Linked DNA regions of Tamandua tetradactyla. The protein of the gene in region 3 purifies or fractionates together with the protein of the main gene of each other region. This does not show direct contact. Links are inferred from orthologs where the notes say so. Each region holds a gene or a part of one and is shown on either strand. Other genes may lie near its edges. The genes, in order: SPRTN, POLD1 and POLD3.

Region 1 (10,629 bases), on a different chromosome or scaffold from region 3:
AACATTGAGAATATGTAGGAAATTCTGAAAGAGCATAGTAATAAGACCAGCACCACCGACTGTTAAATTGTACTATAAATCTACAATAACTTAAAACAACTTCATACTGGCATAGATACAGAAAATAGTCTAAAAATGTACCAGATACACATCTAATATGAATGTGATATATTACTAAAACGGTATTTCAAAGAAAGTGGGGGAAAAGCATGGTTCAAAATCATTGTTACAACTTGCTAATTATTTTTTGGGGGGTGGGGTGGGGGTGGCGAATCGAAAAATGCAAAATTATGATGCATCCATTCGATGAGATTGAACATTATTCAACCACATGAAAACAGGTACAGCCATAGGAATAAGTCTCAAAGATATGTTTTAAAAATATTGAATCAAGTAAAAAAAAAATTAAGATGCAGAACAAAATGTATAGTATGATCCAGTTTCTGGAAAAAAAAATTGAGAAACTCAGCAGCAGTTAGGGAGTTTGGGTGAGGATGAGAACTTCAATTTTCCACTTTTGCAGAGCGTGAAGCTTTCTTAGAAAGCATATGTTACTTTTACATTTTTTCCACTTATTAAAAAAAAATCTGCAATGGCTCTGTGACAGTACTATGTCAAGTCTGAATTCTGATAGTTGATTTTCAAAACCCTTCATAATGGGCTTATAACCTCTATACAATATATTTCACAGAACTGTCCAACCTGCTTTCTGCAATCCGTTACAGCAGATCTCTTCAAGTATGTCGCACATATTCCCACTTCTGTGTTTTTGCTCATGTCGTGCTCTTCCCTTTTCTTTGCGAATCTAAATCGTGTCCATTCTTCAATGGCCAGCTCAAGTGCCAGCGTTTCCATGAGAACGTTCCCAAACCCTACTCTGGTCTCTTCCTTCTCAGTATTTCCACTGTATGGAAAGTGTACTGAAACACACAGCTTGCACTTCAACATTTGCTGAGTTTTCCCACAGTTTAAGCAACTGGAGAGAAGAAAGCATGCCTAAATTTATTTTGTACTATCCCTCCCACAATACAGACAGTGTTAGGCATAAGAATTCAATAAATACCTTTTAATCAATTTTATTTGATAATTCCCTCAGTATATATATTACTGTAAGAAAACAGAATATTGTCATTTAGTTCCTAACTATATTATCTTTTCTTCATTTTGGTACGCGTGGGTGATATAAAACCCATTTTTTCAGGGTAAATTCAAATTTAGATTATATGGAAATATCCCATTCAAGGGACTCTTAAAAAAATTCAGATCTGACTTATTTACAATTCTGACAGTATGTGGAACATGTAATTACATTAGCTAACAGCTTTCTATCTACTCCCCCATACCAATAAAAACCCACTAACCTTGGCTCTCCAAAGAATATTTCAGTAATGAAATTAGCATGAGGATAAGAATATTAAGTTGTAATCAAAGATTTCAGAGAATTAGCTATACATTGTAATATCAAGCAATTTTATTCAGTGTAAGAAAATTTTCAGGCTTTATTTTGATAAACATTTCAAAAGTCCCTCATATCACATCATATCAGTAAGCAAAATGCACATGTATATTGATTTTATATTACATATTAAGCCCTAAATTCCCAATCCTAGGTAACATACTGAGGTGCAAAATACTAGGGCCGACAATTAAACTACAGGTAGTATTTTAAACAACGTAAGTGAGGTTTCAGCACTTAAATGAAATGAGGCTTTAATCAAAGAGACTTAATTGCACAGGGTGTCTACTTTCAATAGCAACCAAACCAATTAAGTCTGTGATTTCAAGCTTAAGTGATAATGTTATGATTGAAGCAAACAAGAAATGGCAATCTCTTAATATGTACTATATTTTTGGAAAAACTATAACTGCATTCAATTTTTAGAAGTTGTTTTAGAGTTGAAAGAAACAAAAGAATCAGAGAGACAAGCTCTGACTTCACTTTGAGAAAAGCAACTTAATTGCTCTGTCTTGGCACAAAGGTACATTATAATATTGTTGATTTTTAATCAATGTCCCACACTAAACGATTCACCAAAAAAAAAAAAATTTCCTTCAGCTACAACTCTGATTAAGAAACAAATTTAACAGAAGAAAATTCTGAACTTCCAGTTTTAAAAAGCAGACAGCTTCGCGATGAAGCAAATACTTAATTACCCAAGTATACACATTTAAGTTTTTACAACATCATGCCTTAGGATAAGTTTCCATTTGAGAAGCATTATGTTCTGGACCAGCATAAAATTTTACACATATGTTTTTCATACAATATAATTGTACAGACCTTAAATGGCACAAAATCATCCTAATCACAAAATTTTATCAAATTTAAATTTCCAGTGATCTTAAAAACGAAATTATAACTTTGTTCAACTGACATCTCCAGTTATGCTTATTATCTAGAAAATCTTAAAGGTGTAGGAGAAATTGGTCAAATAAAATCTGTAACTTTGATGATTTTCATACTTTTAAATATGCATTGCTAAAAACAAAATAAAATAAAAGGCTGATCTGGCATATGAGCAATTAAGTGAAGGCATTTTATAACCCTATCCACTATTTAGAATCTATTTTAGGTTTTAAATAATTTCCAGTCTTACCATTTTTACTTGATAAAAGAAATGATCTTTTCAAGTCCATTTTTGGCATCAAAAATGGCACTTATAGACAAGAATCACAACTAGAAGTGAGGAGGAGAAATGGATCTCAGAAGAACAATAACTCTGAAAGTAGGAGGAATGTTACATAATCAATAAGCAGCAGAAGCAATGGTTTAGAAACCCTGGGAAGTCCAAATTTCTTCAGTTATTTTAGTTTTACTAAAATATCTGAAATAACAAAGATTATATTCACTTTTAAAAACAAAGCAAGGAAAATAACAAGGTGGCATGCAGTATTTCAGTAGGAGTCATAAAAAGTTCTCTTTCTCCCTTAGCTTTGAGTACATTGTCTCACCTCAGTTTTTTACTTTGTTACAAAAACAAAAACAAGTCTCTGCTCAAAGTAGTCCAAGAGAACACTATGTGATTTGCATATGATATTTTTCCATTTCCCTCTATCCAAATCTAAACCAATGTTTCAATGAAAATTTTCTCCTATTTGCACGAAATCTGTGGCACTACATAGCCCACAGTGAAATAGGGGCAGCTAAAAAGCACTGACTACTGCCAGTTTCCTCGGTGTGTCCTTTGAATTTTATTAGTACTATTATTATTGTAACATAACAAAAATGAAAACTCGAGTTGGAAATTCACACAATTCTGGAATACACTGAAAAAAATTACCTTTTCACCGTTCTTAAGATTCTCAGGTAACTAATGCTCTCAAATCAAGTAGTGTGAAGCTGCTAATTAGCAGCTGAAAATAATCATTCAAATTATACTGGAAGTGTAAGCTGAACTGTCTCATGAAGGCTTCCTCTTTTATTCTGTGAGACTGGAGGATCTAAGTCCATACACTAACCAGTTTCAGGAAAGAATTTTTTTGACTATAATTTACCCTAACATCACTTCTTCCAACTCCTGTTTTCCCCCAACTTGTTCATTCATATACTAAGGTGGGGAAGTACATGAGGCAGGGTGTTTTATATGGCATTGTACCCCGTAAGTACTTCAAGAAACCTAACATTTTAGTGAAGTGGGAAACTTTTCACAATATACTTTAAACTCTATGTATTTACAGATATTATTTCTCTGTGTTACATAACATATACTGTGAGAAAGTGTATGTTGATTCAAAGGATAACGTGAAATACTATAGTGTGGCCATAGAGAATTAGCATATTTTAAAAGGAAAGAATATTTTATGTTTTAATAATTCCATTGTTTTTGTTATTTTTGCTTAACTTCTTTTTTTCTTTTGATTTGGTATTTCTGAGAGAACATCAATTTTTAAGCTATGTTGAGGCCAATAAAGATATGCTAATGTAACGTAATATAAATATAAATAATACACAAGTAAGTTATATACATATGTATAAACAGATCCAAGCATCAGACTACTGATGTTGTACTTTCGGGATTCACACGGATGAGTCTGGATGCATTCCTCAGGTCTTGGAGTTGCTTGGCTGGTTTCCCCACACCTTCTTCAAACCTTTTCTCCACTACAGGGAGGACAGTTTCATACAGGAAGGATGCATTCTGCCTGATAAAGGCCTTCTTCTCTGGATCCTGCTCACACCGAAGACTATAATCCACATGCTGGACGGCAACCAAAATAATTTCCACCAGACTCTCCAAAAGGACCATGTGCAGCTCTGGGAAGTACAGCTTCAGCGCCTCTTCCAGAAAACCCATGGTCTGTTTGGTGAAAGCAACCACGGTGTAACTTAGGTTCACCCAACAGTCATCCCCAGTGTACTGCTCAAAATTACTTACCCCACAACTTTTCATCTCTTCTTTGAGTTTACCCAGGGCCTCTGGAGTCATCAAGTTCATTCTCCTCCACATCTCTTCAGAGTTGCGATGTTTAGTGGCTTCGATTATGATTTCTTTGTAACTGTGCAAGGCCCCTTGAATATCTTTCACGAGAAGGGCATGGATGATGAAGGTCAGGTCTAGTCCCTTATCACCCAGTAGCTGACACTGATCCTTAGCCACCTTTACACACTCAGCTGCTGTTGAGAGGCTCTCTTTGCTATCAAACACTTGCTTGCTAAAAGCATCCACAAACATGCCCATGGCTGACCGTGCCCAGACCACAAAGGCGGAGCAGCAGCCACTGTCAGTGCCTGCAAAATCTGTCTCAAACTCCCTTGCAGTCTCAAGAAGGCTGTTAAAGAAGACATGGCATAGCTTATGAATATAGAGTAAAGTGGCACCTTCGATGCGCAGCTGACGTATGGCAGTATGTACAGCTGCTGCCCTGTTTCTCAAAAACAGTTCACAAGCCTTGGTGCACTGGCCAAGCCGGATTAGTTGAGAAACTGCCCTACGAGTAGCCTTGGGACCACCTCTCAGGGAACGATCGGGAGAGAGTTCAAAAACTAATACCTCCGTGAGCTGACGAACGCGCTCATCCACTTTGGCCCTTAGTTCTTTTACAGGCGGGGGACTGGGCTTATCTTCCAGGTAGTGGTTCAATTTATCCAGCAGATCAACGGCCCCTTCGAAGTCCCTCTGGGCAATACAGACATCCAGGTCTTCAGGTAACTCCTGGATCCATTCCACTGAGAGGTCCACCCTCTCTTCCTCTACCTCCGGAACAGTTAGTTCTTCTTCTTCATCCTCCTCAAATGGGTTGCTGGCCTTGGAAGTCACTTGGGGTGGCCCTCGAGGGGCCGCTGCCTCCTCTTGCTCCCTACGTCTTTTCTCACTGAGGGCCCTCTTGGTTTCCTCCAGCACTTCCAGCCACTCCCGCTTGATTTTAGCATTTTCCGCCTGAAAGATACGGCTCTCGGGGAACATGAGCAACTTGAACATGTCCTTCATGGGTGGGTTATCCTTGACATTGACCACAGCCAGGCCATCTAGGGGATAGAGAGCGTTGTAGCGATACATTCCCCGCCGCTGCGGCAGCCAGGTGGCCACCAGCAAACAGTCGTTCATGAGAAAGCCATGCACTCGCTGCAGCTGGGCCATGTGGTCCGCCTCGTATTCCACCAGATCTCCGTTGTACACCAGGTATTGGCCCGGTGTCTCCAGCAGGTGCCGGCAGCCTTCCACCTTCTCAAGCAGGGTGGTGAGCGTGCGCTGCTTCCCTTCCTCACCCAAACTTGAACCGTCCCGGGAGGCGCCTCCCGGGGTGGGAAAAAAGCCAGCCTGGCCTCGGAGGTGGTCTCGGCTGCCCGGCCCCCCTGCTCCCTCCTCCCCTCCGGAGGCCGAGGCGGCCCCAGCGACCGCGGCGGCGGCGGCGGCGGGAAGCAGGGTAAGCGGGATGCTCTCCAGGCTGCTCTTCTGCTCGGTAAGCAGATGACTAAGTTGATACATCTCGCTCTCCAAGTAGGAGATCTCGCGGGCCGTCTCGATGAATTGCCGGTAGTTCTGGTATACGTTGCGCTTTAGGTTCTGCGCCGTCTCCTCTGCCAGCGCCTGGATGCGCTGCCGGTGCTCCTGCAGGTCCCGGTCCCCGTCCGACTGCTGCGAGAGTTGCTTCACGTACAGACTCGCCTCAAAGCCACCTGACTCCAGCTGCCGCCGCAAACGGCTTGCCCCACTGTCCGACATCGCCATGGCCATTTCCGTTCGGGTCTCAAGCAGTCACTGTCACTATCACCGCCGACACCACAATCAAGACCCACCCAATCCGGACAGAGGCCCGGGGCTGCGTAAGCCGGGCGGAAACGAGACGTGTGCGCCTGCGCCCGGGTTTGAGCTCCAAACAATGCGCCTGCGCAAGGGGGGGTGGTGGTGGCGGCACACAGACAGTGCGCCTGCGCAGAAAAGCCAGCTGTTGAGGTGCCTGCGCCGAGTCAGCTGTTGCGGAAGTGAGTGGAGGGCGGAGGCGGAGGGATATAGGTACTGCGCGGAGGTCTGTGTGACGTGAGATGTTCGAAGTTAGAGGCAAGTCCGGGGACTGGAAAGGCAAAACCAGCTTCCTGAAACCTTTCTCTGGGCCGAACCCTGAAAATCCAAGTTTTGCGCCAAGTAGGAGGTGTCATGCTAGTTGTTTTTTTTAAAAAACCCCCAAATCTTGGCTACGACGTTTGGTCCCAGCTTAACTCTCGTTCTCGTTCTAAAGCCAGTTTTCCCCGAATTCTCGCGATTGTGGCGGGATAACACGAGAGCAGCCTGGGAGCCGCTATCTCCTAGGAGTTCGACTAGGGCCCTGCGAGCATTTGTGACTCGCCGCCGAGTCTGGGAGCAGCTTCCCCCGGGTTTGTGCTTTGAGTTCCGGGCAGCGATGGACGAGGACTTAGTGTTGGCGCTACAGCTGCAGGAGGAATGGGACTTGCAGACCGCAGGGCGCGATAAGGCCCAGGAGCCCCTGTCGTTGGTGGACGCGTCGTGGGAGCTGGTGGACCCCACCCCAGATTTGCAGGCCCTGTTTGTTCAGTTCAACGATCGTTTCTTCTGGGGCCAACTGGAGGCCGTGGAGGTGAAGTGGAGCATGCGCATGACCCTGTGAGTCAGGAGCCCCTGGGTGGGCGGGTCTCGGAGGTCTGCTGCTTCGGGCCTTGGGACTCTGCTTTCTCAGCCTTGATGGTCTCGGGGCACGTTAATCGAGGGGGTCTGGTTCTGGACCAAGTAGCTCCTTAGTGTATTTGTCCCTTTCTTGCCCAGTCTCTCGCTCAAACAACGCTGTGTTACGGCTCACAATAAGGGAAATAAGAGAAAAGAACTTTTTTTTTGAAACTCACTTCGCTTGATAATAAATGAACATATTTCTGATTTGTCTTATGGTAGCGCTTTAGGATCTAGGAGGAGGGAACAACCAAAGTCTGACCCTAGTTAAAAGTGCTGAGGAAGCACAGAAGCCTCCAAAGGGTGTGTGTTGTGGGTTATCCTCTTCTCTACTCAGTAAGATACCTTCGCTAAGTAGTGATGGCATGTGTTAGAATGAAGAAGGAGTTGACATTTGTCTTTATCTGGACCCAGGGGATCTTCAGTGGCGCCCATAAAAGGATTTCTTTCTGCACTTAAGAATTGAGAAATCCACATTTGAAAGAATCATCTATTCCTGCGCATGAAAGGGGTTAACAAGTGTATGATGCAGTTTGCATATCAGCATGCATGTTTTTGAATTGTTAACAAACATAACCTACAGATAGGATATGATATCAAGTTGTGCTTAAAGTACAACTCTCCTTCATATAACCTACTATAATTTTGGAGATGTGCTACTGGAGTAGGTGTGTGCCTAATACCACCAGCGGCTGATTACAACTTGTAGGGAGTAGACTGGGAGTAGATGAACAGGATTATCTTCTTTGACCAGTTGTAGCCTGGCTAGGGTAGGGAAGCCATTTCTGTTGACTTATCTCCCTAGCTGGGGTGACGTGTAAATATCTCATAACAAAGAGAGTATACTTTCAAGAAAGACATCTGCCAGTAGAATTTTCTTAGTGTGAGCTGCCCAGGAATGTATAAGGATTTGCTCTTTCATCTGTTTCCCTTTTGGTGTGCATTTAGTGATGTAACAAATTTTTGTGGTTGTTTTCCAGGTGTGCTGGGGTATGCAGCTATGAAGGGAGAGGTGGAATGTGTTCCATTCGTCTCAGTGAACCCCTTTTAAAATTGAGACCCCGAAAGGATCTTGTAGAGGTAATCTTTGCATCCATACAATTTTTAGCTCAGTAATTTAGATATGCTTACAGTGATTTAGAGTACTGTGCATTTTTAAAAAATCACTTCTCCCTTTACTTTTTCTTTCTTTTTTTTTTTTTTGCATGGGCAGTCACTGGGAATCGAACCTGGGTCTCTGACATGGCAGGCAAGAACTCTGCCTGCTGAGCCACCATGGCCCACCCTTCCCTTTATATTTTTATCTGTGGGTTAAATAATAATAGTAGTTGCCTTATATTTTGTATAGTGCTTCAGAGCTATAAAAGGCTTTCAGATATATTATCCCACTTGATCTTTACAGCAATCCTTTTGATGTTCAGTGTATGTTATCCTCATTTTTATAAATGAGGAAATTAAAGTTCAGAGAATTAAGTGATTAAGTTACATAATTAGAAGCACAAGGGAAAAAAAGCTTAGGAACAAAGTTTTCCTGCTTTGACATGCACATTTTATTCAACTGCCACAGTGTTGTCATCCCAGGACACTTAACTGAACTAGCAGCACAAAGTATAGAAATAGTTGTTTAACATTATTATGAAAAGTTGAGAAACTTTTGAAATGTAGAATGGGTCTTGATAGAGTGACTTGAAAAATCAAGTTCGTTTTGAGAGAGACAACTGATAACTTAAAAAGAGATATTTTTATGATGACCAACTTAAAATCTTTGATTCTCCTATTTTTCTGTTCAGCATAATTTTATAAGACTAAAAATTTAATTAAATTAATGCCAGCCTAGTTCTTCTGATGAAACTTCTTTGTTTAATAAAAGAGGATTATAAAAATGCTACACTTTTGAAGACTTTTGTGATTTTCATTAAGAAGTGGTATGCATAATGAGTTTTTTTATTTTAAAATTTTACGTGATTCATTTTATGTGGTTCAGAACTCTAGTAAGTTATACACAGAAATCTTGTTCTCTTGTCGTCCTCCCAATTTGACCTTCCCACCCACTATAGGGAACTGTTGGTACTAGTTTCATATTTTTTCCTTGTTCTGTTTTGCAAATATTTATATTCACTTCTTCCCTGTCTCTGCCACACTGCACACTTACACAAAATGTGTTATGTACGCTCTTAACATTCTTTGCCTTTTTCATAGCCATCATTTTCTTTCTTTTTTATACCTACACAGAATTCTGTGATGTGGATATTCCATAGTACAGTCAGCCAGTCCCCGCTTTCTAAACGCTTAGAATATATCCAGTCTTTTGTCATTATGAATAATGCCAAAATGAATACACCTTGTACAAATGATCTTTCATATCAATTTAGGTATCACTGGGCCAAAGTATGCATGAATTTTAAATTTTGTCAGATGTTACCAAGTTCTTTTTAGGGGTTGTAGCATTTTGAACTCCCACCAGTGATATATGGGAATGTTTATTTTCCCATAGCATTACTAACAGTGTCAAACTTTAGTAGCTTTAATCAGTCTTGATAAGCAAGAAATGGTATCCTATAGTAGTATTAATTTGCATTTCTCTTATGAGTTTGAACATCTTTTGATATTTATGTGTCATTTATATTTCTTTTTCTGTGAACTATCCATGATCTTCGCCAATTTTAAAGTTGGGTTGTTGGTCATTTCCCTTTTGACTTTAGCTCTTTATGTAATAGGATATTAATAGTCTGACTCAGTTACACATATGTTTTTTTTACTCTCCTTATGATTTTTTTCCCCATATGAAATTTTAAAGTTTTTGTGTAGTTGAGTTCATCAGATTTTTATTCTGGATTTTGATTAAGAATTTAAAAGGCCTTTTTGGAACAGAGAGTCTTAACCTGTGTTCTGCAGAGCTTTGGATATCATTTGCAAAGTTTTGTAAATGTATGTGTATGTAATTTTTCTGGCAAGATGGTTCATGACTTTTATGTTTCTGAAAGGAGCCTGTGATTCAGATAAAATTAAGACCTCCAGGTAGAATAAGAAAATGCAGATATACATTTTTATTTTAAAAGTGCCGTTTCAAATTCTTTTGTTTTCTGTTTCAGACCCTCTTGCATGAAATGATACATGCTTACTTATTTGTCACTAATAATGATAAGGACCGGGAAGGGCATGGTCCAGAGTTTTGTAAACATATGCATCGCATCAACCGCCTGACAGGAGCCAATATAACGGTATATTAAGACATACTTAATGATACTTTGTATTTATTTCTTGAGATAACTCGTGGGATTTAATTAAAAATAGAAAATTGGTAGTACCAAACATCTTTGACCATTTTCACCTGCAAACTAGAGGCTTGGAGAAGCTGATTGACTTATCTAGGACCCCAGAATCGAATGGCAGCAAAGCCAGAATTTTATCTGAGGCCTCTGACATCATCCAGGTTAACATCTTACATGTAGTTAATTTAGGCTTGTAATTATGTCTAATTACATAAGCTTGAACTATGTCAATTGTC
Region 2 (9,950 bases), on a different chromosome or scaffold from region 3:
TGTCAGGCCCTGTCCTAGGTGCTGGGGATAGAGCAGTGAGCAAATCCAAAGCCCCCCTGCCTGCCTCGCCAGAGTCTGGGGAAAGTGAGTTTTGGGTGGTGGGCACAAGTGTGATATTGCTTGGAGGAGGGACAAGTGTGGAGTGTGTCGGGTGCAGGCCTGAGCCAGTGGGGCTGAGTGAGTGGGGGGTGGAAGGGCCAGGAGAAGTGGGCACAGGGGTCCCTGCAGCCTGCCGCTGCCCACCCCGTTCCCCTGTGCCCTCAGATCATGCTTCTGGAGACAGCCCGACGCTACAACCATGAGACCGAATGCATCACCTTCCTAAAGGACTTCACCTACAGCAAAGATGACTTCCACCGTGCAGGTGGGCTGTGGCCCGTGGAGGCTGACACATCCGCTTCTGCACCTCCTGAGGTGGGGGGTGGGGCAGGGGAGAGGGAGCCAACCTGGCAGTGGGGCTTCTGGACTCAGCCTCCACTGAGTGCCAGCTGTGTGCACAACAGACCCAGTAGAGCATGAGTCACAGGGTCTCTGTTCCCCCGTGGGGCATCTTGGTGGGAATTAAGAACCCTATCCCCACTCTCCACTGGGTCTCCGTCTCAGCGGAGGGAGGGCAGGCTGGGTGTCGGTCTGCAGTGAAGTGCACGACCCACGCAGTCCCTGCCCTCCGACAGTATTCCCCTAGGGTCTGTGATGTGGGCAGGTGGGCTCCCTGCAGGAGACGCAGTTACACTGAGGCCTGAGGAAGGAGAGGCATTGCGGAGGAAAAGGGGGTGGGGATAGGGTTGCTCGCTAAGGCACAGCAGGCACAAAGGCTTTGCTCCTTCTCTGGACTTTTCTGGCGAGTCCACCTTCTCTGCTGCCTCTGCCTGAGTCCCCTCTCTGTTTTCTCAAACATCCACTCCTAGACCCAACTCCTTTTATTCCTTAATCCCCCACCCTCCATACCACCCAAGATGGTCCCAGAAACCCTTTGAGTATGAGCCTGGCCTGGGCAGGGAGTCCTTAGGGTCTCCAGTGTTTACAGTGGTGGGGATGGGGTGGAGAAGGGGATCATGTGCATAGGTCCTGAGGTGGAGAAGAGCCAGATGTGTTTGAGCAACTGCAGGGAGACTGAGGCATCCAGGGCACAGGGAGAGAGGGCTGGAGAGGAGGCCAGGGACCCCACTGCTCCTCACTGCTTCTCTGCCACCTCCTGGTCCTGGCCTCAGTCACCTTTCCCTGAAACACTGCAGGTCCCTCCAGGGTCTCTTGGCCTCCACGCCAGCCTGATCTAGTCTGTTCTCCACAGTGTAGTCAGAAGGACCCTGTTAACGCCCAAGTCAGCTCACATCTCTCCTCTGCTTGGAATCCCCATCCCCACCCCAGATGGCTTCTTTCTCACTCAAAAGCCAAAGTCTACCCTGTGGCCTGTTAGGCCAAGTGTGATTCACCCTGATCCCTCCCTGCCTTCACCCCCTGCCCTTTCCTCACTCACTCAGCCCCAGCCACATGGGAGTCCTTGTTCTTATTTGAGCCCACTAAGTATGCTTCAGCTGCAGGCCTTTTGCACTGGCTATTCCCTCTGCTGTGAACTGGGGTGACCAACTTGTCCTTGTTTGTTCAGGACCTTCCTGGCTTTGATACTGAAAAGTCCTGCGACCCAGGAATCACTCCTGTTGTAGGCAGATCAGATGGTTGGTCACCCTACCTGGAACTCTTACATAGCCTTGCAACTTGCCCCCTCCCCTCTTTAGGTCTGTGCTCAGGTGGCACCCTACAGGAAGGCCTCTCAAGCCACCTTGACTAGAATTTAAAGGTGACCTCCATCTGTCCCAGATGCACTTCCCGACTTATTTTATCCCATAGACATTATCACCATCTCATGTGCTGACAATACATATGTGTGTTTATTATCTGTCCCCTCAACCCGCAGATGTTAAGTCCCATGTAGGTAGGGGCTTTGTCCTGTAAGCAGCTCTATCCTAGGGCCTGGCACATTTTAGGTGCTCAATAAAGTTTTTTTTCTTTATATATTTTTATTGAGAAATATCCATACACATACAGTGTAAACATTACACAATCAGTGGCTCACAGTATCATCACATAGTCAATAAAGTTTGATAAGCAAATGAGTCAGTGATGGGAATGAGTTTGGCTTTATTCCTACAGCAGTAGAACCCAGTGGAGGAAGTGACATATTCTGACCTGGGTTCAAGAGAATTTCCCTCTGACTGCCAGGAACCGGAGGAAGACAGATGCAGGGAAGCCAGGGAGGAGCCGCTGCTGCCCTGGCAAGGCACAAGGGCAGTGGAGGGATGGGAGAAGGCAGTGGGTGTGTCACTCCTGTTCCGTGTCCTTTCAGGAGAGGTACTGTACTTCCACCACGCACAGACACTCTTGTGAGCAGTGGGGACACAGAGGTGTCTTAGGTCACTGGGGCTGCGTAACAAAGGATTCAAACTAGGGGCCTAAAGATAAGTTATTTCTCAGTCCTGGCGGCCAGAAGTCGGGAAGTTGTAGGCGGTCCCTCCTTACTTCCTCCCGGCCCCTAGTGGTTTGCTGGGTGCTTGGCAGTCCTCGGGCTCCAGTCTCTGCCTCTGTCATCAAATGGCCTCCTTCCCTCTGTATCCAAGTGTTCTCTTCTTATAAGGACACCTGTCATTGGAGTAGGGCCCACTCAGCTCTAGTTTGGCCTCAACTAATCGCATCTTCAGAGACCCTATCGTCAAAGTCACGTTTGCAGTACAGGGGTTTAGGACTTGAGCATGTCTTTTTTGGGGACACAATTCAACCCACAGAACAGGAGAACAAAAATTACCACGTGGTAATTACTGGAGTTTTCCATCCCCCGTGATGGTGGGCAGTGTCAGGGACCAGGGTGTGGCCCACTTTCTGGGCGTGGAGGCGTGTGTCGGCTTCTGTTCCCGCCTGTTCTCACCCTCCGCCCACCGACAGGCCTGCAGGTGGAGTTCATCAACCCCATCTTCGAGTTCTCGCGGGCCATGCGGCGGCTGGGCCTGGACGACGCCGAGTACGCGCTCCTCATTGCCATCAACATCTTCTCCGCCGACCGGCCCAACGTGCAGGAGCCGAGCCGGGTGGAAGCGCTGCAGCAGCCCTACGTGGAGGCGCTGCTCTCCTACACGCGCATCAAGAGGCCGCAGGTAGGCCTGCCAGGGCCCGCCCACTGCCTCACGCCCCGCCCACCACGCCCAGGGCCACGTCCTGAGTCGAAGGCGATGTAGGAGGAGTCCTGGTCTAAGTGGGGTCATGCTGGCTAGGGTTCCTGCTTCCTCGTCAGCACATCCTCTGTCCCAGAACTGCACTCTGAGCTCGGGCCGCTGTCCGCTCCCGGGTCCCTTAGTGCAGATGCCCTGCTCTGCCCACCACTCCCCATGCCGGGGAGGCACACAGGCCAGCAGGGCCGTTCCCGCGCTCATCTGCTGCTTGTGCTGCCCCCCGCAGGACCAGCTGCGCTTTCCCCGCATGCTCATGAAACTGGTGAGCCTGCGCACCCTGAGCTCCGTGCACTCGGAGCAGGTCTTTGCTCTGCGGCTCCAGGACAAGAAGCTACCGCCTCTGCTGTCTGAGATCTGGGACGTCCACGAGTGAGGGGCCCAGCTGCCATCTGATGGAGGGTGGCTGTCACCCTTCTTTCTCCTGGGGTGGATGCCTGGCGTTGGGGCCCCACTTTGGCTTGGAGCCCAGGTGCCGGCCTTGCCGGCCCTCAGCCTTTGGGATGAACTCCGGTTGGTGCCCAAGCAGGCTCTGGGTCCCCCCCTCCCTGCCCGCCAAGTCTTCCTGGAGGGAGTGGATGTCTCACAGGCCCTGACCTCGGACCTCTCCCAGCGGCCTCCCCACCCAGCTCACGCCTCTGGCCCATGCGCAGTGCACCTTGAACAGAGGGAGGGGAGGTCCATGGCTCTCCCCCACAGTCTGAGAGACCATAGTCCCCTCTCCTTCTGCCCCTTTTATTTAATAAAAACTTAAAAAAACAAAAAATGGAAAAATAAAATATGAATATACAGTTGCTCTGATTTGGAGTGGGTCAGAATGGAGAAGGAATGCTGCAGGGTCTTCCCCAGCCCTCTGACCAGCGCACAGAACCGGGTGGGCTACCTCTTCCTACTACACGTAGTCTTGCAACTTGTCCTCTGGTGGCACGTAGGGGATCAGAGGCGACTCTGGTGCCAGGCTGGTGGGGTCAGACACAGACGCTGCAGCTCAGGTCAATGTGCACTGGGTGCCGAGGGAGTCCAGGAGGGTGCCCCATGGCCTTGGGGTCACTGTCCTGTACCAGGTGAATATCACTCTTTAAGGACACAGGACATACTGGATGAGGAGGGACCTTTTATCCACCTACGCATTTGCCGAGGCTTCCTGGGGGCAGGGCATTCTGGGGACAAAGACGTCCTTCAAACAACAAATGTCTTTGAGTATTTACTATTGCCATGTAGTTCTAGGCGCTGGGAACAGCGACCCTCTGGTGGCAACCAGCCAGGCCTGGCAGTGGGGAGAGGGGCGAGGACAGTGCGAGGGAGCCTTGGGGCAGCCAATACTGTGTGGGAGCCTAGAGGAGTCAGGGAGGCGAGGTCTTAGCTGGGACCCATTGGACCAGAACTCGGAAGCTGAGGGTCCATGTGGAGACACAGGCATGGCAGGGACTCTGGCGAGTTCAGAGTAAGGCCAAGTAATTGCATTTGCACAATTCTTCCCCCGTGCCAGCCCCGAGGGAACAGCTACAAGAGTTGCGTGGCCATCCCGACTGAGGGTGGGGAGGGCGTGGCTTGGGGGACCGACTGGGTACCGAAGGGCCCGTTGGGGGGCGGGAGGCGGCGGTGGACGGGAGAGTAGTCACGCCATCGCCTCGTGCTGGGCAGTGTGCTGGGCGCCCCGCATCTGCGCTGTCTAGTTCACAGATGGAGAAACTGAGGCCGTGAGGAAGAGGAGGCCTGCCCGGAACGGAGCTCGAATCTGCCAGACTCTAAGAGCAAGCAGATAGCAAAAGCAGCTACTCCCGGCGCGGTCCTGCCGGGCACTGAAGGACAGGCAGCGGAAGCTGGTGTGCGGGGGCGGGCACAGAATTGCTGCGCGCGCAGGCCTGCCAGGCCGTCAGCGCCGAGGGGCGTGGCCTTTTAACCAGCGGCATGCTGGGGGCATGGCTTTGAGGCGGCCAAGGCGGGAGAGGGCGGAGTTTGGTCAGAATATGAACGCGAGCTGGGGCAAGGGGCGTGGCCTGCCCCCTGGTTGGAAGACCGGGGCGTGGTCTAGAGGCCAAGTTGTGAGGCGGGGCGTGGCCTCATCCATGATGGGCTGGATGGGGCGTGGCCCGGCTCTGCGCGCGGCGGTTCTGCGCTTGCGTGCGCGGAGTCAAGGGTCACGGTGGGGCGGTGTCGGCTGTGGCGGGAAACGCTGTTTGAAGCGGAGGAGAACAGGTAGAGGGGGATTGGGGGATTCGGCCTGACAGAGAAGGGGGCCCGGGGGGCCGGGCATGGAGCGTGGGATGGGGTGGCGAGGGGTCTCGTGGAACGTGGCTGCGGGAGGGAATCCCCTGGCCCGGCGGAGCGCCGTGAACCGGGACTGGGACCTGTGGAGTCCCAGACGCGTGTGCCGGGACGCTCGGGCTGGGGAAGTGGGGGCGCCTTGGCATGCGGGGGCGCATGCGCAGGGTCCACTGGGCTTCCAGGCCTTGGGATACGCGCGCTGGAGGGCTTTCCGGGAGACGGAATCGAGAGGCGTTCGGGGGCAGAGCGGTGCGCGAGGGGACGTGGGTGTTCACGTCGTTGTTTATTCACTGGATATTCATTGAACGTCTACTCTGCTGCAGCATGAACAGAGAAGGCGGATGGTAGACAAATGATAGCGATAGTAATAGTGAGTGCTTCCAGGCTGTGTGTGATAAGTTATCTGAAGGGAAATGAAACTGGGAAATGCAGTCACCTGGAGTGGTGAGGAATCACCTGTCTGCGGGAGTGACAATTGAAAGGAGCGGCCAGGAGAGGTCTTGAAGAAGAGGGTTCCAAGTAGAGGGAACAGGTACAAAGAGTCTGGGTCTGGAAGGGGCTTGGCCTTTTTGGGAACAGGGGAGAAGTACAGGTGACGTTGGAGACGCCACGGGGAGCCAGATCAGGTAGGGTCTTTTGTGCCTCTGTAAGGAGTTTGGCTTTTCGTCTCTGATCCATGGAGAGCCACCGGAGGGTTTTGAGCTTTGAAGTAACATGATCTGCTTTATCTTTTGAAAAACTCACTGGCTGCTCAGTGGAGAGTAGATTGTAGCAGGAATAGGAGTGGATGGAGGGAGACCAGTTAGGAAGTGAGAGGGGATAATAGGTGGCTTGGCCTGAAGCGGAAGTGGGGAGAATCTGTCAAGCTTGGGGTGACTTTGCAGGTGTGGCAGCAGGGCTGGTTGATGGGCTGGATTGAGGGATGAGGAGAAAAGACCAGGATGACTCTTGGGCTTGTGGCTCAAACTGCAGGCTAGATGGGGAATGCTGAGGGAGAAGCAGATTTGGATGCATCATCCTGAAATCAGAGTTTAGAGGGGAGCACAGGAGGAGGTAGGGTGACGTCAGTACCTCAGCTTCCCCACTCCCTACAGTAGGACCCCAGGAACCTGTTGTTACCTGTCTCTCCCCTTCCCTTCCTGCACCTCCATCTGGGACCCACACCTCTCCTGTCCTTCCGAGAGGCTCAGTCCTGGCTGATTCAGGGCCTTATCCACCCCCTTTCCTCTTTGAGTGAGACCCCACCTTGAGCTTTAGGAGGCCTTCACAGTCTGAAACAGCCCCAGCCCAGAGTACACAGGTGCAGTAATAGAAGTGCAAGCTATGGTGGGATTCTGGAGAGGCACCTGGTCAGCCTACAGGAGTCCAGCTCTACTGTGTTTCCAAGAACACAATGGGCGTCAATGGCCAAGAGAAAGGGGACAGGGCCCTGTGCTGGATGATGCTGGGGACCCAGAGAAAAGTCAGACCCTGCCCTGGTCTGGTGGGGTAGGCAGACATGGGCCCAGACAGTCCCAATCCAGTGATAAGGGCAGCGACAGAGAGGCTCAGGAGAAGGACAAGACCAAAGCATGAAAAAAAGAGTGTTGTGTTTTTTGGGGGGGAGGGGGTGAGGGGTAGTCAAGAGTGAATTTACTTAATTATTTAATGGTTTACTCCTTCACTCAGCAGATCCGGAGTACAACAACAGACAAGCAGACAAATCCGTCTTCAAAGTCTTTCTCCCCTGTTGAGCTGTGGGTCCAGAGGGTGGTTCTTGAGTTTCTTACCTTGTATCTCCTCAGCACAGGCCTGGTGTGCAGAGAGGTTGGCACCTGAGTGATGGTTTGCAGTGGGTTCTTGGAAACCTGGCTCCATCTCCTTGAGCTGGCTGTGTGACCTTGGGCAGACTGCTTTACCTCTCTGGACCCCAAATCCAACTATTACCTACCTCAGAGGGGTTTGTTTTTAACTCACAGCTTTATTGAGATACAATTCCCATTCCATACAGCTCACCAGTTACAGTATATAAGTCAGTGGTTTTAATATATTCACAGATATGTGGAACCATCATCACAGTCAATTTTAGAATATCTTCATCACCTCAGCGCAGAGAAAAGGTTAGAAACCATGCCTGACCCTGCTGAGGACTCGGTGTTGTCTCACCGTCCCCGGTACAATGAAGTGTCTGCTGCTGAAGGAGTGTGGACGGCAGAGGGCACGAGCCCTTACTGAGCTCCTCCCCCAATCAGGCAGAGCGTGCCTCTTTCTTGATGCTGACCTGCCTCACACATGTACCGGGGCTCGGTCCTGGGATAGGGATGAAGCTCAAAAGCCTGGATTTGGCTCTGGGTGATGCCTTCCCCTCACAACCCCCCATGGGGCTGATTGATCCAGGCTGCCCAGGGACAGCCAGTCGGTCCCCTCCGGACTCCCGCTAAGCTAGGTTCTGGAACCGCTGAGGAACCACCCAGCAGCCCCAGTTACTTCCCCCAGATTGGAACTGCCTAGGTCTGTCTGGCTACTGCCGTGCCTTTTTTCTTCCTGGGAAATAAGCACTGAAAGAGAGTCAGTTAAAAGGCTTCTTCCTCCACAAAAACTAATGCACAAATGTTCATGGCAGCATTATTCATAAGAGCCAAAAGGCAGAGACAACCCAAATATCTTTTGATGAACAAATGGGTAAACAATGTGGCATATCCATGCAGTGAATATTATTCAGCCACAAAAGGAACAAGGCACTGATGTGTGCTGCAACATGGAAGTTTGAAAACATGCTGCTGAAAGAGGCCAGATGTTTCACGTATTGTGTGTGTGATTCCATTCACATGAAATGTGCAGACTAGGCCCACCCATAGAGGCAGAAAGTAAATTAGTGGTTGGTGGGGGCTGGGAGTGGGACGAATGGGGGATGATGGCGAAAGAGCATGGGTTTCTTTTCAGGAAAATGAAAATGTTCTAAAATTGATTGTGGTGACAATTACACAACTCTGAATATACTAAGAACCATTGAAATATACACTTGAAATGGGTGCCTTGTATAATAGGCTATGTACTTCTCAGTAATACTGTTAAGCCTCCTTCCCTCCCCACTTCCTCAGAGCATTGGTGTTACTAGCTTCTAACTTACCCTTCCAGAAATATTTGACGCATGAAAAACAAATATGTTTATACGTATCCTTCCACCCACCTTGTAAAAATGCTATTTTTTTCACTTTTTTTTGTATAGTATAACATATATAAAGCAAAGAAATTAAAAAGCAATAGTTTTCAAAGCACTCCTCAACAAGCAGTCACAGGGCAGACCCCAGAGTTTGTCATGGGCCACCACATGATCCTCTCATATTTTTCCTTCTAGCTGCTCCAGCATATAGGAGGCTAGAGGGCTTAAATACTTTTTCATCATCACAATCGACTTTCTTTCCTTCTTTCTTTGTGAAAAATAACATATATACAAAAAAGCTATAAATTTCAAAGCACAGCACCACAATTAGTTGTACAATGTATTTCAGACTTTGACATGGGTTACAATTTCACAGCTCTAGGTTTCCATTCCTAGCTGCTCTAAAATACGGGAGACTAAAAGAGACGTCAATCCAATGATTCAGCATTCATATGAATTTGTTAAGTCTTATCCTCTATGTATAATTCCACCATCACCCTTGATCTTTCCATATCTCTCCTTAGGGTTGTTTGGACTATGGCAGTTCTAAATTTCTGACATTGGAAGGGTCTGTCACAAACATGGGGTAGGGAGATGGAATCGTCTGATGTTCTGGAGAGGCTGGGCTAGGTTTCAGGATTTATCTGGACCAGGGACCTATCTAGAGGTTGTAGGTTTCTGGAAAGTTACTCTAGTGTTCTAGAGTATCCTTGTGGAATCTTATATATTGCTCTAGGTGTTCTTTAGGATTGGCTGGAATGGTCCTGGTTGGGAGTTGGCAGGTTATGATAGTAGCAAGGTCTACCTGAAGCTTGCATAAGAGCAACTTCCAGAATAGCCTCTCAACTCTATTTGAAATCACTCTGCCATTGATACTTTATTAATTACAGTTCTTTTCTCCCTTTTGGTCAGGATGGAATAATTGATCCCATGGTGCCAGGTCTGGATTCATCCCTGGGAATCCTCTCCCATGTCTCCAGGGAGACTTTCACCCCTGGATGTCATGTTCTACGTAGCGGGAAGGGCAATGATTTTACTTGCGGAGTTGGGCTTACAGAGACTGAGGCCATATCTGAACAGCAAGAGAGGTCCTCCAGAAGTAACTCTTAGGCATGCTTATAGGTATCTAAGTTTCTCTCCTACCTGCATAAGCTTCACAAGAGTAAGCCTCATGATCGAGGGCATGGCCTATTGATTTGGATATCCCTAAAGTTTGACACAATATCAGGGGATTCCCTGATGGTAAGGTTTAATAGTTCCATATTCTTTCTCCCCCCACTCAGGGAACTTTGCCAATATTCTTTGATTATCTGGTTAATATA
Region 3 (10,116 bases):
ACTCACTTTGAGGGATTTTACATTGATTTTTATAAAATTGATAAAGTGTTTTATAACAAGCACCTAGAGTTTTATCTCACCTTCCTTGGACTCCTGCCTCTCCAGATATCAGGACAGTTGATATATTCTGGCCTTGGAGGCTGTACAGTCCACAAGACTGTCAACACAAGATACAGATGTTCTCATAAAGCAGCTTGTATAAAAAAAAAAAAAAGGAAAATACAGGCTTGCTGTGTTGCTTAAAGCATAACAATGGCAACACTCTGTTTTTATTTCTTACATATTTTGTGTAAGGTGAAAGGTGAGATTACATAACGTCTAGCCCTGGATAACTCAAGTCCAGAGTTTTCCTCATATTTCCATCCTCAGGTGGAGTAGGTGCCCCCTTCAGGTTCGTATGGCACCCTGTGCTTCCCTCACACCATTTTGCTATTTACCCTCCATGAACTGTAAACTCCCAGAGATGAAAACCATCTTGTGTTCCCCTTAGTTACATAGGGCCCGATATACAGAAGCCCTTTGGTAATGCTTCTTGAAGGGAGGGTGGGAGGAAGGGAGGGAAGGAGAGAGAAAGGGAGAAAGGAAGGAAGGATGGATCAAATGTCTAAATTCCTTGATGCCATTAAGTCCTGGGTCCTTGGAACTGTGGAACAGTTCTTACATAGTTTTGAGACCCCTGAATCATAATTTTAATCTGGTTTTCCTTGGTTCTAACCTATTACTCTGCCTGGAATGCCAACCCCCAGAGACCAGTGGCAATCTGAAGTCCAGCTAGCTGGTGGGGTTCCTGGGTTGTCCTTACAGGCCCCCTTCCCTACACTGAGACTGGGAATCCTGCCTGCATTTAGGTTAACCCCTCCTCACTCGCAACCAAATATTGAGCCCCATCCAGATTTCCCACACTGTACCTGTCAGAATCATTAGACTCTCTGGTACCAGTAATTTCTGGGATGAAGTGGGGTTGGAAAAAAAGAAAGAGTAAGGTCAACCTTCTATTTGTAACATCAACCTTAGGCTCTTTTTTGAGACCTGGAGGCTGGAGAGTCTTAATCCCATACAGTTCTCACTGCTGGTATCACCTGACACCTGCTGGCCCCCAAAAGTGTTGACTGTGTCCTGTGGTTAATTAATTCTCTGGTTGCTTGATGGTTCTGGTTTCTGGAGACCTGCTTTTGTCAACATTGGGTACTGATGTCAAGCCTCATCCTTAATGAACAGGAAGGGAGATATATTTTTATTTTTATTTTAAGGAAAAAGCATTTATAGTTATAGGTAAGTCCTTTTTTGGAAGTTTGCCTTTTTCATTTCATATAGAGAAAACTTCACAGATGCCTGGAATAAAAAGACGGCTTAATTTTACTTTGGTAAACGCCTGACTTTTTTCTTCAGGATGAAAACATTTATTTTTCTGATTATAGCAATCAAAATTCTCTTGTAAAAACTGACACACATATAAGAAAAAAACTAATATAAAGAGAATAAAAATTATCCAAATCTGATCACCGAAAAACAATCACAGAGTTTAGAGCATAGCCTTTGGTGTCCAACCACCTGGGCTGGAAACACATCTCTGTCACTTACTACCTACATGCTTTGAGGCAAGTTACTTAACCTCTCTGAGCTCCAGTATCTTAATCTACCAAACAGGGATAATAATATGTCTTAGTTTCCAGGCTGCTATGACAAAATTCACATAATGAGGTAGCATAAACAAAGGGAATTTATTGTCTCACAGTTTCAGAGGCTGGAAAGCTTGCTTCCTCCTAAGTTCAGTGGTACTCTGGCTGGCAATCCCCATCATGTGGAATGTCCTCTCCTTTCTCTTCTGGCTTCCACTGACTTCCAGTTTCCAGCTGTGGTCTTCTCTTCTAAGTCCAATTTCCTTTGCGTATAAGGACTTCAGCCATATTGGATTAAGGTCCACTGTCATTTGGTTTGCACACACCTTAACTAATAATATCTTCTAAGGTCCTACTTACAAATGGGTTTCCACCCACAGGACTAGGGGTTAGGACCTGAACATGCCTTTTGTGGGGGACATAATTCAACCCCCTACATAATATTACGTACTTTACAGAATTGCTTTGAAGATTAAATGAAGATATCTAAGTAAAAGGCTTAGCATGGTACCTGCATATTTCATAAACTCAGTGAAAGATTAGTAATAAAAAACACTATCATTTTTTCAATTTTTTATATATTTGTAACCATAACAACATACAAACACGAACATTCTTACCATATGATCATTCCAGTCTTGGTATATAATCAATAACTCACAATATCATCACAGAGTTGTATATTCATCATCCTGATCATTTCTTAGAACACTTGCATCAATTCAGAAAAAGAAACAAAAAAAGAAAATGATCAGAGGGATTACCCCTCCCTCTCATTGACTGCTAGTATTTTTATCTACCCAATATATTTTAGCCTTTGTTTACCCTATTTTTCTTCTAAACCCCTTACCACTCCCTTTCATTGATCACCAGCATTTCAAACTACTAATTTTATTTTAACATTTGTTCCCCCATTATTTATTTTTTAACCCATACGTTTTACTCATCTGTCCATAAGGTAGATAAAAGGAGCATCAGACACAAGGTTTTCACAATCACACAGTCACATTGTGAAAGCTGTATCGTTATACAATCATCTTCAAGGAACATGGCTACTGAAACACAGCTCTACATTTTCAGGCAGTTCCCTCCAGCCTCTCCATTATACTTCAACTAGAAAAATGATATCTATATAATGGGTAAGAATAACTTCCAGGCTAACCTCTTGACTCTGTTTGAAATATCTCAGCCATTGACACTTTATTTTGTCTCATTTCTCTCTTCCCCCTTTTGGTTGAGAAGATTTTTCTCAGTTTCTTGATACTGAGTCCCAGTTCATTCTAGGATTTCTGTCTCACATTGCCAGGAAGGTCCATATCCTTGGGATTCATGTCCCATGTAGAGAGGGGGAGGGCAGTGAGTTTGATTGTTGTGTTGGCTGAGAAAAAGAGAGAGGCTACATCTGAGCAACAAAAGAGGTTCTCTGGGGGTAACTTTTAGGCCTAATTTTAAGTAAGCTTAGCCTATCTTTTGTGGGGATAAGTTTCATGTGAACAAACCCTAAGATTGAGGGCTCAGCCAATTGCTTTGGTTGTCCCCACTGGTTGTGAGAATATCAGGAATTCTCCACATGGGGAAGTTGAATTTTCCCCTTTTCTTGCCATTCCCCCAGGGGGACTTTACAAATGCTTTTTTTTATTCACTGTTCAAATTACTCTGGGATTTATTGGGGCATCACTCTGCACAAACCTAAAAAATCTCACGCCCTACTCAAGGTTCCATGTACTTATGGTGTTCCATTAAATTGTCCACACAAATAAAACACTATCTTAAGTCTCCTTGTTTCCTAATCCAGTGTTCTCCCCCCACTAATTCTCACTGTTTTTTAGTGTAATTGAACTTAAGTCAGTAAACATTTATTGAACACCTATCACATGCTGGTGTGGTGGTGGTTGTTACCATTACATTAGAATGAAGTCAGGTCTAAAACCCAGCTTGGTTATTTAAGTAAACCTTGTCTTGGAACCTATTCATACCTCCCATTAACAACAGAAAATTGATTTTGCATAAACTATCTTGCCTTATTTCTCCTCTGAGTGATGAGAGACTTGAGTTCCAATTCCAGCATGCTTGCTAGCCTGTGACCTTGAAAAATTCACTCCTCCTCTCTGAGTCTCAGCAATCTACTCCATAAAATACAGAAAGTATAATCTATTTACAAGGTTACTATGAAGATTAAATGAAATATCACTCTCAAATCACCTGGTAAAGAGTACCTGGTATATAATAATATAGCCAACTTTTATTGATTTTATTGTATACAGGCATGGTAAGCAGGGTTTATGTATCTCACCTGTAACTCTGGCCAAATGGAATTCTTTGATTTTCTCACCTACTCTTTCTCCCAATCTCAGTCAAGGAAACGGCATCACCATTTACCTAAAGAGTTAAGTTAAAAATCTAAGCATTTTCCTGATTCCTCTTCTTTTGAAATCTCACTCACCAATTTATCAGCAGGTCTTGCTGAGTTTACCCCTAAAACAAAAGTCACCCAATTATTTCAATTCCTACTACTGCTACCCTAGTTTAAGCCACCCCCTTGCTCATTTAAATATCTCTACAAGAATATAAACTACATGTGAACAGCCTCCATGTATTATTGATCACAGCTGTATCCACTGCAGACCCAGTCCCTGATCCTTAAGACATTTTTTGCTAAATGTCTTTAATGAATGTATGCTGCAATGAACTTTCGAAGTAGGTACTGCTATTAACTCCAATTTATAGATGAGGAAACAAACCCATAGCGATTGAACAATTTACCTAAAGTCACACAACAAACAGCAAAGCCAGGATTTCAATCTGGGCAGTCTAAACTCATCTATCCATTGTGTTGTGGAACTGAACTTCACTGCTTTATGCTAACGTCAACTCTTAAGGTTTTACTGGCTGATATTAGGAAAAATTTCAGTTGAAATTCTGCATGAAGTCTTCTCCAAATTTCCCTCAGAATATGGTTCATTGGCCCCTTCACACAGCCTTGGAGACCCAGCAAGATATGGCTCATATCTCCTCATTGGCCCTTCTTCCTCCATTCCAGTATAATGCACTCTCTTCTCCTACACGAACTCTTATCTCTTCCCAGCAAATGTTCCGGTCATTCTCTGAAACACAAATTTCCCCTGAAAAACCTAACCTAATTTCTCAATCCAGGCGGATCATAACAGGCAGCACTTTCTCCCAGCCGGCATCACTTTGTACTCAAATTACTTATTTCTGTCTTTATTGCTCAATGCTGTGTCCCCAGTGCCTAAAAGTGTCTGGAAGATACTTAATAAATATTTATTAAATAAATGTATGGAGAACAAAGATTATTTACCAATTTACAGGTGATGAGACTGTAGCTCAAGTATTTTGTCCACCTTCAATCATTAAGTAGCAGAGGTGAAATTCGAACCTAAGGTTCGAGACAAACTCTTTCCCAGCACGCCCTTCCTACAGCTTCTCATTTCCGCCCTCCCCTACTAGCTTTATGCACTGTACTTGAGCCTGCGCCATGACTAGTTTGACCCCCGGACGGCCGCCGTAGCGCGTTGCCTCCGTTGCCATGGGAAACGACCTCGGACCTGGGAGGGAGGGGGGAGGAAAGACATTTCCCGCCGGCGGGAGCTGTGGCTGTGGCGGCGAGGGCGGCTCAAAGGCCGCGGATTTCAGCGCTGCGGCACCATGGCGGACCAGCTTTATTTGGAAAATATAGACGAGTTCGTTATGGACCAGAACAAGATCGTGAGGAGCTAGGACGGGGGAATGTGGGCGTGCGACTGGGGTTGTGGGTATGGCGAGGGCTGCCAGGGGCCTTGACCCCACCCCCGCTTGTGGCGTCGTGGGAATTGGCCGAGGGAAGATAGTTCCCCACATCTTCTGCTCCTAGGCGGGTGAGGGCCCTCCGGAGAGGTCTTCTAGTTCGCGCGTGCTTCCGTGTCCCTTGGGTAGGCGTGCTGTGGACTCTGCACAGGGCAGGAGCCAGGGAGGTCCGGCGTGGTGGGAGGGGTTTTGGCGCAGAATGTTTTTAAGTCGTTCCAACGCCAGTCACATAAGCTGTTTGGCTTTAAAAAATCCCTGGTTTACAGTTGAGAAAATTGCATCTTAACTGGTTTAAGTGACAAGTTATTTAGCGTCCTGACGGTTCTCTTCCTGAAAATCTAGGTATTGATATAGGCTTGGTTTGCCTCACAGGATTGTGTGAAGTCAAGTGAGACGATGGGTGTGAGTGCACCCTGATGCCAGCTGTTGCTTTTGAGAGTCTACTGTGAGCTAGGGCACTTTGGATACACGTTATTTGCATTTAATTTTTACAGCGACCCACCCAGAGGTTGCTGGTAGTATCCCTAGAAGAGGAAATTAAGACAAAGGGGCCTAATAACTTGGTTAGTTGTGGTTAGATAGACACAGCCTAGGTCGGTCTCTTACTTCAACTAATGCTTTCTTTTACATCACATTGTCTTTGCCTTAACCTATTATTGGAAGCTCAGCATTTAGAATTGTTAGGCTTTAGGAGACTGGCAGGCATACTGGGTCAAGAAAGAATAGAAGGAACGCCAAGACTTAATGCCAGAGTTCCCCAGCTAACCTTTGATACAGTATTCATTGCTTTTTTCATTCATTCCCTGACCCTGGCACCATCTGTGCCCTTTAATGATTGTAAGGCTGCAACTTGCCTTGGAAGTTTCTGAGTTGTGCACTTCAAAACAATACTGTTTCTGGGTGAGTTTTGGGATAGTTTTGGGTAGTGGACCCAGACAGGGGCAGAATGTGAACAAAGGGCCTTGATAAAACAAGAAATGTGAGTCAATGAGAGCTTTTTCTTTCCATATATATTCAGCCTTTGACATGAACTTTTTAGTGTTTGTAAGAAAAATGTTAATCCTGCTTGTCCAGATGGGTGCTTTTTGGCAAAACTGGGGTGACATCTATTGTAGTTTATAAGACATAATAATAATAATAATAATAATAGAATCTTTAGGAGCAGCCTTTTGGAACTAATCTGCATTGTTGAGTCATTAATATTTTAAAAATTGCTTCTTCTTGCAGGTGACATACAAATGGCTGAGCTATACACTAGGGGTTCATGTTAACCAGGCCAAACAGTAAGTCCAGTTTACTACTAATTTTAACCACACTTGAGTTTTTTGTTTTTAACTTTACAGATAGCTAGGTTGGGACAAAAAAAATTTTTCTTGGGCAATGGTAAAGAGTATTATTTACTACCTTGTACTACCTTTAGTGCCTTGTCTATTTTAGGAGGTAGGTGGACTGGTGTACAAATATGTGATGATAAATTTACTGGATTTATTTGCAGCCTTACCCTCTGGGTGACATCACTGTACTTCAAATTTATTAAATTAGCCAATTACATTTATATCTCAGACTTGTATGTCTGTTATATTACATCTTCAGAAAGTCCTTAGTCTCCTTTCCAGATACTGGAACACTTGTACAATGAGGTCAACAGGTGTTTGATACAAGCTGTGTAACAGAGAAGAAATATTTAAGTGAAACTGAGAGACAGTATATAGGATGGCTCAGACCATTTTCCTCCTGGGTTTTTGCCATGTCCCTTTTTCTTGCTGAAACTTGTGATGAAAGGCCAGCTTTTGAATTGACTTAAAAATTTTTTGACTGAAAATGTGCAAGTATTATCACTGTCCCAAAGGGAGGAATTAGAGAACAGCTCAAGGACACTTGTGTTGGGTTAGATGACCATTCAGTTTGTTTCATTCCCAAGGGTTTGTTTTATTCCTCATTTTTGACCATTCCTTCAGGATAGAAACTTTGAGTCATAGGAGTATCTCATAAAAGTTTTAGAAAATCCCTGATCTCTAAATGGCTTGATTTGGCTTTAAGGGTTGCTGTTTGACAGGTCTAAGAGTCTGACTTTGGCTGTGATGTTTACTCCTTTGAGACCTGAAGCTCTTAGCCCAGGAATGAATTTGGACTGGTTTTAACTATATGAGATAAGACCATTTCTAGCTCAAACCCAAGAGATAAAGGTAACTTTGGGAAAGTGAAATAAAGTAGCCTGCAACTTTACTATAAGTACCCTGATTTCCTATAATTTTTATAGCATTAACAGACTGTCCAGTTTCTATCATCCCATACTACTCCCTACCTTAATTATTATTCTCTTCCCATATTTGCTTTTCTGTTCTTCAGGAAGGAACAAGCCTTAGGACCTTTGCACTGTTCTCTCTGCCTGGAATGTTCTTCTTCCAGCTGTCCTCATTCTTCAGGTCTCAGTTCAGATTTCACATGTAACTCTTTAAGAGACCTTAGAGAAATGCTGTCTTTTAAGTATCCTCACCCATCCCTAATACTTTGTCATAATACCTTGTGATTGTCTCTCACATTTTTTCAATTCTTTTTTTTAATTGGGATATAATTCACCCATTTAAAGTATACAAATCAAAGTTTTGTAATATATTCAGAGTTGTACAACCAATACCACCATCAATTTTAGAACACTTTCATCATCCTCAAAAGGAACCTGTGCCTGTTAGAAGTCACTCCATAGTTTTCCTCAGCACTGTGGTCCCCCTTCCCCACTGTCTTAGGTAACCATATCTACTTTCTGTCTCTATAGGTTTGCTTATTCTGGGCATTTCATATAAGAGGAATCATATAATATGTGCTTTGTGTGTGTGTGTGTGTCAGCCTTCTTTCACTTAGCCTATAGTTTGCAAGGTTCATCCATGTTGTAGCATGTATAAGTATTTCATTCCTTTTTATGGCTGACTAATATTCCATTTTATGTGTATACCACATTTTATTTTCATCAACTGATGGATATTTGGGTGTTTCTGCTTTTTGGCTATTGTGAATAATAATGATGCTGTGAACATTCGTTTATAAGTTTTTGTGTGGACGTATGTTTTCAGTTCTGGGTATATCGCTCTTGAGGAACTGCCACACTGTTTTCCAAAGTGGCTGCACTATTTTACATTTCCACCAGCAATGTATGAGGGTTTGTTTGTCCATATCCTTACCAATTTTTTTAATCTGTCTTTTTGAATTTAGCCATCCTAATGGGTATGAAGTGGTATCTCATTGTGATTTTTTTTTAAATAAAAAGTTATTTTATTCAATATATTTGAAACAATCATCTGCAAATTTAACCTATCCTTAAAAATAGGCACTGTTTTAGTATAATCCCGTTTATGTACAAAACTAACAAACCCTTTACATATTCACATTTATGTTTAAGTGCACAGAAAAAGGCATGAAAGAATATGTATTATTAAATGCTGGGAACCTTTAGGAAGTTAATGTGAAAAGGGAGATAATTTTTATTCCATATACTTCTAAATTTGAATTTTTCATTCATGTATTTATAGATTTTTTTTTGATAAAGGTTCAAAAGCACCAAAAAACATTTAAAAACAATGCTTAAATTAGTAACAAATACCTGTCTTCTGACAATGGAGTTTTGTAGTAGATAATCTTCCTTGGAAAGTAATACGTTGGCAATAGGGTGCAAAGACGGAGAGCAAATAAACTATAATCCTGGTAGATGTTTATTTATCAAATCTCATTAGTGGAGTCTTCAGCTGGCTTTTAAAACAAGGGCTATTTCATTATACTGGCATACATGGCAGACCGTATGAGTACAGCAAAGATCAATTGTCCATAGATGAGAGGGTCCATATCTGAACACTCTATTCTATTCCATTGGTTAGTATATCTATCTTTATGCCAGTACCATGCTGTTTTGACCACTGTAGCTTCATAATATGCTTTAAAGTCAGGTAGCGCGAGACCTCCGACTTCATTTTTCTTTCTCAGGATACTTCTAGCTATTCGGGGCACCATGCTCTTCCAGATAAGTTTGGTTATTGGTTTTTCTAGTTCTAAAAAGTAAGTATTTTGAATTTTAATTGGTTTTGCATTGACTGTAAATCGATTTAGGTAGAATTGACATCTTAACTATATTTAGTCTTCCAGTTCATGAACACTGTATGCCCTTCCATTTATTTAGGTCTTCTGTGATTTCTTTGAATAGTTTCTTGTAGTTTTCTTTGTATAGGTCTGTTCTAGTTTGCTAGCTACTAGAATGCAATATACCAGAAACGGAATGGCTTTTAAAAGGGGAAATTTAATGAGTTGCTGGTTTACAGTTCTAAGGCCAAGAAAATGTCCCAGTTAAAACAAGTCTAAAGAAATGTCCAATCAAAGGCATCCAGGGAAAGATACCTTGGTTCAAGAAGGCCGATGAAGTTCAGGGCTTCTCTCTCAGCTGGAAGGGCACATAGCGAAACGGTGTCATCTGCTAGCTTACTCTCCTGACTTCCTATTTCATGAAGCTCCCTGGAAGGCGTTTTCCTTCTTCATCTCCAAAGGTTGCTGGCTCGTGGACTCTCTGCATCCCTTGGCCACATCGTTCTGCTCTCTCTGAATCTCTCATTCTCCAAAATATTTCCTCTTTTATAGGACTCCAATAAACCAATCAAGACCCACCCAAATGGGTGGAGACATGTCATCCCTTAATCCAGTTTAACAACCA

The links.
Region 1: the proteins of POLD3 (region 3) and SPRTN purify together in Homo sapiens (affinity purification with mass spectrometry; 3 studies listed by BioGRID, with this or other methods). This does not show direct contact. The link is inferred for Tamandua tetradactyla from reciprocal best matches to the Homo sapiens genes POLD3 and SPRTN.
Region 2: the proteins of POLD3 (region 3) and POLD1 purify together in Homo sapiens (co-immunoprecipitation; 8 studies listed by BioGRID and IntAct, with this or other methods). This does not show direct contact. The link is inferred for Tamandua tetradactyla from reciprocal best matches to the Homo sapiens genes POLD3 and POLD1.

The regions. Positions count from the first base shown.
Region 1 is NC_135333.1:1,005,208-1,015,836, forward strand, and holds the start of SPRTN (DNA-dependent metalloprotease SPRTN), read left to right. Parts: upstream 1-6,302; 5' UTR 6,303-6,424; exon of another isoform or gene 6,425-6,678; 5' UTR 6,679-6,840; coding exon 6,841-7,061; intron 7,062-8,101; coding exon 8,102-8,201; intron 8,202-10,213; coding exon 10,214-10,342; intron 10,343-10,629. Other genes in the region: EXOC8 (exocyst complex component 8), read right to left, coding at 3,990-6,176. UniProt on the Homo sapiens protein: DNA-dependent metalloendopeptidase that mediates the proteolytic cleavage of covalent DNA-protein cross-links (DPCs) during DNA synthesis, thereby playing a key role in maintaining genomic integrity.
Region 2 is NC_135342.1:10,822,710-10,832,659, reverse strand, and holds the start of POLD1 (DNA polymerase delta catalytic subunit), read left to right. Parts: upstream 1-5,350; 5' UTR 5,351-5,417; intron 5,418-9,950. Other genes in the region: NR1H2 (oxysterols receptor LXR-beta), read left to right, coding at 265-364, 2,938-3,146, 3,448-3,594. UniProt on the Homo sapiens protein: As the catalytic component of the trimeric (Pol-delta3 complex) and tetrameric DNA polymerase delta complexes (Pol-delta4 complex), plays a crucial role in high fidelity genome replication, including in lagging strand synthesis, and repair.
Region 3 is NC_135334.1:71,090,367-71,100,482, reverse strand, and holds the start of POLD3 (DNA polymerase delta subunit 3), read left to right. Parts: upstream 1-5,158; 5' UTR 5,159-5,285; coding exon 5,286-5,345; intron 5,346-5,375; exon of another isoform or gene 5,376-5,548; intron 5,549-6,650; coding exon 6,651-6,706; intron 6,707-10,116. UniProt on the Homo sapiens protein: Accessory component of both the DNA polymerase delta complex and the DNA polymerase zeta complex.